2 linked regions of the Tribolium castaneum genome follow. The protein of the gene in region 1 purifies or fractionates together with the protein of each later gene. This does not show direct contact. Links are inferred from orthologs where the notes say so. Each region holds a gene or a part of one and is shown on either strand. Other genes may lie near its edges.

Region 1 (3,283 bases):
AAATTACGTTTGCTAAGGATCACTAATATTTCTGGGTTTGTACTGTTTTCCAATAATTTATGCAAAAAATTTTAAGTTGTGTTTGGGTACTTTATAATTGAATTAAAATTCCAGCTTACGTCAGTTGAACAAAAAGCAAGGTAAAAAAATATCAAAAAATTAATTAATTAATTATTATTTTTAATATCGTCCACTTTGGGACTAATCCTTTAGCACTATTGTTGAGCAGTGAATTAACGGATGAATTGTAAACAATCGAGTCTTTTAAAATAATAGTTTTTTTTCGATATTCGTGTCGGTGTGGGAGTGAAATGAAAATCGTTCTGGTTTATTAACTTTTATTAGAACCATATAATATATTTTTGTGTTTAGAAATGTGCTTATGTTTTTTAAAAACATACCATTTTATATTACATAAACTAGCGCAAAGTAACTATTTACATATAATACAGGTAAAAAATCACGAAAATAACCGTTTATGTAAGCTAACTGATAACAATGATAAACCCAACTAATATAGTTGAGACCTTGCATTCCAAGATGGAGCTCGCCCGCGAAAAACTCGTTAATTTCCAACGAACAAGTGTTAATATAAATATTAAAAACTAGGTGAAAAAAAGGGATGGTAACAAAGTTAAAAAAGATTGTACTAAAATAAGATACAGGCATACAAGAACCGCAGTTTAGAACTGCAACGTATAAAGCGAATACATCTGAGTATTAAATTTGATTTGATTTTCAGATCTAAAGGCACGAAATCACATCAGAAAATATATTTCACGTTTTTCAGGCACGCCGTTTTTACACAATGTACAAATATACAATTTCACTAAATAAATAAAATCAAACTTCGACGCCCAAGACGCGGTCGACGACGTACTCGTAGCGTCCCGACTGTGCACTGTCACTTGGTTCACTGTCTTTCGAATGGCACTCGTCGGGGGGCAAAAAAGGCACATTGCTGTTCACGCGAGTGAAAAACGCCATCTTCTCCCTGACAAAAACAATAAATAAATAACACCAATCAAACAAAAAACACACTAAACTTACTTGAACGAAATGATGTCCGGTTTTCCATTCCCCGCTTTCGTCTTTCTCAACTTGTAAATTTCCTTTGAGACCTTCCGTAACATCTTCTCCACCTTCTTCTCTTCGGGTGTTTTCGGGTTTCGGAAACTCTCCGCGTGCGCGATCAAATTCTGAAACCTTTCGTCCTCCAATAGATAAGTGGCCAACTCGGAATCGCCTCGTTCTTTCGCCTCTTCCAGCTTCGCCTTCAACTCCCTCAACCTGTTCAACTCCGAATGTAACAAATCGAGCCGCGTGTGTTGGGCTTGGAGGTCCAGTTCCAGGTCGAGGGACGTCCGTGCCGTGGTCGGGAGATGGCTCTGCGGCCGTGAGGCCACAGACTGCCTCCTGAACCTCAAAGACCTCCTCTCGATGGCATTACGCTCGAAAGGCTTGCCGCCACGTCGGTACAGAGGCATCGCGCTGTCGCTATCGCTCCGATTCAGCTTGCAAATGTATTGGTTTTTGCTCACGTGGGCACTTGGGGTGAAGGTTTGCGACCTCTTGATGACCCCCCGGTCGTCCAGTGAGGCACCGGCCGCGGCCATTTTCATCTGTTTGGCGTGTTCGGGGTAAAAGGCACATTCGGTGTTGGTTTGCTTGTCGGAAAACGGCTCGAATTCCTCCTCAAGTACCTCAAGCACGTCTTCCTCCTCCTCTTCTTCATCCTCCTCTTCCTCAATCTCTTCATCGCTCTCGCGGTCCATACAGTTGTAAATGTCCTCAAGGGTGAAGTTTACAGTATTGAGGAAATTGAGAGGGTCTTGGTTTCGCGTCAGAGTTGAGGTTTGCGAGGAAATTATCGTCGAATCGTCCGAACTTTCTTCCTTCACTGAGGGTTTCGTTGATGGGTCAATTGGGTCGGACTCTTGGCGGTTGTGGGCCGATTTTGGGTCCTCCCGCGTGTCGATTAGTTGCAAACTCAGGATGTTGTACCATTTTTGGGACACTTGCTGGACGTTAAAGTCGGCCAGACTCACCTGAGCACAACCCTGCCAACAAAACAAAAATTATATTTTTGTCTACCTTTATTATCAGTTTGAAAAACTCACCACACACTTCTCCTGCTCTTCAGTCTTACTCCAAACATTCAGTTGCAGCGTCTTCGTGTAAATTTTATTCGCAGGTACGCTAATATTGAAAACATCGCCGAAGCTCGGCTTCTTCAAGTCCTTCACACACTTGGTGCAATACACAGAGGGGGTGCTCGTCCCGGATGGCAATAGCGCGATTTTCACAAACCTGCAACCCCCAAACTAGCCTCAAACAATCAAAAAAAAAAAAACTGGAAACTTACACTTGGGCATTTTCCGCGATGTACAACGCCCCCAAATTCCTTGCTCGTTCCACCCCCACGTTGAGTATACTCTCACCGGAGGCATACCTCAACTTGATTTGAACTTGCGCCGTTTCCACGTCTTGCTCCACCAGTTTCTTGCGATTTGAGGCTTCGAAAACCCCCGAATCGCCCGCCACCGACTCGTCGCTCACCGCCGCCGAAACCGACCTGGTGTTGGTCCCCGACGACGACGTCCGCGACAGCGCCGTTCCGTCGTGCTCCAAAATGGGGGGCGGCGTCTCCGAGATGGGGCTCAAGGGTGGGTCGCCTTCGTACGAGTACCGACTCAATTTCGGTTGAGTTTGGGGCTGTTCGTGTCCCAATTCCTCGATCAGTCTTTGCACTTGGCGGTCACGCTCGACTTGTTCGTACGTTGGGGGAGGGACAGCGCATGGGAGGTTTTCGTACATGGGGGACACAGGGGGCGACACTGAAGACAGGGAACTACGGGGGGACAAGGACGGTTGGGAGCGGCACGGCGAAGGGGTCGAGTATTTCACTTTGAGGACGCGCTCAACTCGTCGGTGGAGGTCCATCATGTCGATGGGCTTATCCAGATTGGAGGAACACTGCGGCCCGCCGTAAATATCCGTGAAACTTAAACCCGAACTCAGGGAGCCCTTGCTTGAAGTTGTTGATAACGAACCGAGACTAGAACTAGAACTGACTGATAGCGTGCTCGCCGAGAGCGTCTTCAGGTGGGACTCCAGGTGGGTCATTTGGCGTAAAGCGTCCCTTAGTTGTTGGAGCAGCAGTTGCTTCTCTTCGTGGAGTCGCAACCGGTCGGCTATCGCCCGGTTGGACATCTCGAAAGCTTTGTTCAGATCTTGCTCCAGTCTCTTACATTTCAACTGGATTCCGCTCATCTCCTCCTTC
Region 2 (4,314 bases), on another chromosome or scaffold:
AAGATTGTCACTCCAATGAACTCCTTCCAAGTTAATTCACATAACAGGACAGTTCTTAATATTATACAGAGTGTATTAGAAATACCTGTTTTAGTTTTAACACGTAATAAAACTCATGAAATACAACTTTTCTATATAACATTTTGCAAAATTCTTCTTTATAATTTTTAATGTTTTCCTCCATTTTCGGTCAGTGTTTAATAATTAGTTTGTCCGTTTCTGGCACAACGAAAATAGTTGGGCTCTAACTTTTGTTGGGTTCACGTTTCAGTATGTTATCTTTTTCCAAATTTTAAATAAATTTGCAAATTTTTTATTAAAAGATTACAAATAGAATAGTATATTACGAGTTTTATAAGACGCATGCACAGATTTGGAGTAAGTGCGACATCAGTATGTTTTTTTTATGTTATATCCATGAAAATTGGTATTTAAGCTTTTGGTTAAAGATCAAAAACAAATGTTTTAGGATTTTTGGAAATTCCATCCCTAAGACTCGTTATTTCAGTTAAATTTAAAGTCAAAATCCTCAGAGTCAAGTTAATTCGAAGTTGGAAATATGTTTTTTGATTTTAATCTGAAGTTTATATTTAATTCGACATTGTTTAAAAACCGTTTAAAAACGAACTAAATCGATCGAAACAGCCCACTTTTTGAGTCGATTTAGCAAAATCAAAAACGTTCTTCCAAAACGTTAAAAAAACAAAAATTAATACAGATTTCGACATAATTTACTGCTCTTTGTTTTTTCTGTTTTATACATTTTTATGTAAAGGTATTTTTAAAGGCCCTAAAATAACTTATTAGAATTATTATTATAAAACAACAAAATCATTTTCGATCAAATTTGAGCTGTTTTATTAATATTGCGAAAAAAACTGGGTTTTTCAATTAAAAATTCAGATAAACGTTTGAAAGAGGCAAAAAGATAGTAATTTTCTATCTAAATTAATGATTTTTCAGCTTTAAATCTTGCAAAAAAACAAGTAGAAAATCCATTCGCAAGGGGGTTTCCTATAAAAATCCGTAATTTTTGTAAGTAGAACTTGAAAAAACAATGAAACACCATTTTCATTTTTAACCGAAAACTCAAATAACGATTTTCATGGGTATAACTTAAAAAAAATACAGATTTTTATACAAAATTTAACCCCCTTGGGGGTGGAATTCTTATAAAGCACAAAACCTCCTTAAAGAATGATTTTTCAAAACAATCATCTACTGTTCAATTTAATCAATTAACTTATTACAGCTAATAAAACATAATTAATTACAATGTAAATGAAAAAAAGTAATGCGATTACGTTGTAATTAGATTATTGATTTAACTACATTATAATCTGTTTATGCCCAACTCTGTAAGAGGGGCTTTCGGCCAATCAAAACTTACCAGAGCTTCATTAGCCAATCGGATTTCCTCCTGGTACTGGAGCAGGCGCTGTTCCATATTGGCCCTTTCACGCTCCGCCTCCTCTCTCAATTGTTTTTCACGTGCCAGACGATTTCGTTCAATCTGCCGACGTTGTTTCTCTTCTTTGGCGGCGGCTTTCATTTGTTGGAGTTCCATAGAATCGGGTTTACGCCTCCGCATGAATAAATCATGGTTACCCATGCACAAATCAAGAATCTGAAACATTTGTTTTAACCACGCCCCCTCAGACCACACCCACTTACCAATTTATTCATTCTAACTTTTTGGCTAAAGAAGACAAAATTTGGGGAATTCTTATCGACCGGTTTGATAATAAATTTTTTATCGTCAAAACTAATGTGTCGTATTTCGGCCCATGTGAACGTCGTTTTTGGTTGTAGTTTATTTTCCTTTTCGTAGATGTTTAATCCTAGAGGTGTTACACCTAACCACAACTCAGTCTCTTTTTTATTCATTATCGGAAAATAATTAACACCGTACATGTCCAAGTCTTGTGCGATTTTTAAATACTCCATCTCGGCTTCGTCTCGCGACATACCCCTGTGATCTGAGTACCACACTCTTATCCGCTCCTCCCACATGTCTAGAGTCATCTGATACTGGTCGATGACTCTTTGGGGCAACAAATCCTCGTTCGCTAACATTCCCGGTTTGTACGTATCTAGGTCAAAGTCTCCAAACTGGGGGCTGTTAGACAGGGGGAACATTAACCTCAAACTATTTACCTTGGCTTGGACCGCGTAACTGGCTAGCAGGACGGACGCCTCAGGGGGGCAGTACACATCCATAGAGAGAATAGCTTGCTTAACTTGGAGAAAAAAATAGTGTTTTGTTACCTCTTGAACCAGCTCTTCGGCCACTTCTTCGGGGTAGAATTTCGCGAAAAACATGAACGACACCGTACTGTGGGGGTCCTTCTGGATGCTCTGGTCTTGGACTGAAACACACACATGATTTTGGGGGCCCTCTCAGCACCAGACCCACCTTTCTTGTCCAATTTTAACCAATTGATAAACCCTTTTGAATCTTCGTATTGCAAACCGAAATACCAAGTCTCGCGTAACCCGATTGTGCGGCACACTAGCTCGAATAAATCCCTGCCGGTGGCTCGCCACTACAATGCGAAAATTATTCACAGTTTGGAGAATTGAGACGGTAAACATACTTGTAAGTTGAACTCCAATTCGGCGTCCAATGTGCACACTTTCACGGGGAAACTCTTCTCGGATTTCTTTTTGCGAAATGGAGACATTTTTTCTAACATAATCCTCGCTTTTGTAAAACCTATCGCATTATTCAACCGTAAAATAACAACAACAAATAAGGCACAAACATCTCGGTTATGGCATTGACAGATGTCAATTCGGAATACCAACACAATGGCGGGAAATTACTAGGACTTTCGGGCGATGGGGCCCCAGGAAAGGGCTCAAGTGGGCGGTTTCAATCTATATCTTAATGTTTGTAACGCTAAATGTTATATAATGCTCCTGTCGGTTTTATTTTAGTTTAATCACAAAAGTCTAGAGGAAAATTTGGCCGGTAAAACAGATCTCCGATAAGCTTCTTGTCTTTTGAATAAATTGTAAAACCAAAAATTGCTTTTCTTGCTTTTTAATAAAAATTTAATCAGGAATAGGTCTTGATAATTTTATTTTTGACTATGAGGCTTAATTTTTGTTCGGTTTCATTGAGTATTTAGCTCAAAAACGTGTTTGAAATAAAAGTATAGCTTTTTTCGATTCAGTTCGGTGATTTCATGGTTCACGAAATAATTGCATTTCTGGGTGAAAAAGTGGAAAAATTAACTCATTTTCGATCAAATTCAGAACATGTTTAACTCGATTTACGCTAATATCGAAAAAAAAAACGCGTTTTATCTCAAAACTTGCTTAAACTCTCAAAAAATGTGACAAATTATAATATTTGTGTTAATTTTTCGATTTATTTTTGAGGAAATTTCTCAAAACCATTGGGTTTTTGTTTGAAAACGTGTAATATCATGTGAAAACCCAATCGTTTAGCTCAAAAACATGCTTAAACACTTTAAAAATGCGATCATTGTGTTCATTTTTTTAATTTTTCCGTATATTTTTGAAAAAATTTCTTAAAACAATTTGGTATTTGTTTGAATAACGTGTAATACATGCGAAAGGCCGAATTTTTTGCCCAAACACGTGCTTATGCGCTCGAAAAATGCGCTATTTGTGTTAATTTTTTTAATTTTTGAGGAAATTTCTCAAAACTACTGGATTTTTGTTTAAACAAAGTGTAATAATATCATGCGAACGGCCGAGTTTTTAAGTCATAAACGTGCTTAAACGCTCAAAATATGTGATACTTGTGTTCATTTTTAAATTAATTTTTGAAGAAATTTCTCAAAACAGTTGGGTTTCTTTTTGAACAACGTATAATCTCGAGAAAATCCGAGTTTTTATCTTGAAAAAATGCTCAAAAATTCAGCGTTTTTTGGATAATTTTTAAAAATTAATTGATTTTTAGTTTACAAACATGCATAATACAACAATAACACCATTTCCGATTAATTTGGGCAATTTTTTGGTTTTATTTGACGACTTTTCACGAAATAATTGGCCTTATAGACGCGGAAGTGGTAAAATAAATTTATTTTCGATCAAATATTGTGAATTTTTAGTTTAGTTTAACAGACAGGGTGTGGCGTCTAAACCCACATTAGAAGTAATGGTAGTTCTAATAATGATAGTCATCTGAAAATTTGTATATCACCATAACCTCTAAGGTCCTGCTCAATGAAGATATTTTCAAGATGGCGACACTTCCGGTTATACCGGAAGTCGCTATCAACTTCTTTATTTTAAATGGAAAACTATATTTTTTAATGCATTTTTGAATTACTAGAG

The links.
Region 2: the proteins of kibra (region 1) and Mer purify together in Drosophila melanogaster (affinity purification with western blotting; 3 studies listed by BioGRID). This does not show direct contact. The link is inferred for Tribolium castaneum from reciprocal best matches to the Drosophila melanogaster genes kibra and Mer.

Annotation. Positions count from the first base shown.
Region 1 is NC_087402.1:5,113,925-5,117,207, reverse strand, and holds the end of kibra (protein kibra), read right to left. Parts: coding exon 2,366-3,283; intron 2,311-2,365; coding exon 2,121-2,310; intron 2,061-2,120; coding exon 1,051-2,060; intron 995-1,050; coding exon 844-994; 3' UTR 759-843; downstream 1-758. UniProt on the Drosophila melanogaster protein: Regulator of the Hippo/SWH (Sav/Wts/Hpo) signaling pathway, a signaling pathway that plays a pivotal role in organ size control and tumor suppression by restricting proliferation and promoting apoptosis.
Region 2 is NC_087401.1:7,792,487-7,796,800, reverse strand, and holds the start of Mer (merlin), read right to left. Parts: upstream 2,817-4,314; 5' UTR 2,697-2,816; coding exon 2,598-2,696; intron 2,547-2,597; coding exon 2,417-2,546; intron 2,370-2,416; coding exon 2,158-2,369; intron 2,113-2,157; coding exon 1,675-2,112; intron 1,628-1,674; coding exon 1,391-1,627; intron 1-1,390. UniProt on the Drosophila melanogaster protein: Regulator of the Hippo/SWH (Sav/Wts/Hpo) signaling pathway, a signaling pathway that plays a pivotal role in organ size control and tumor suppression by restricting proliferation and promoting apoptosis.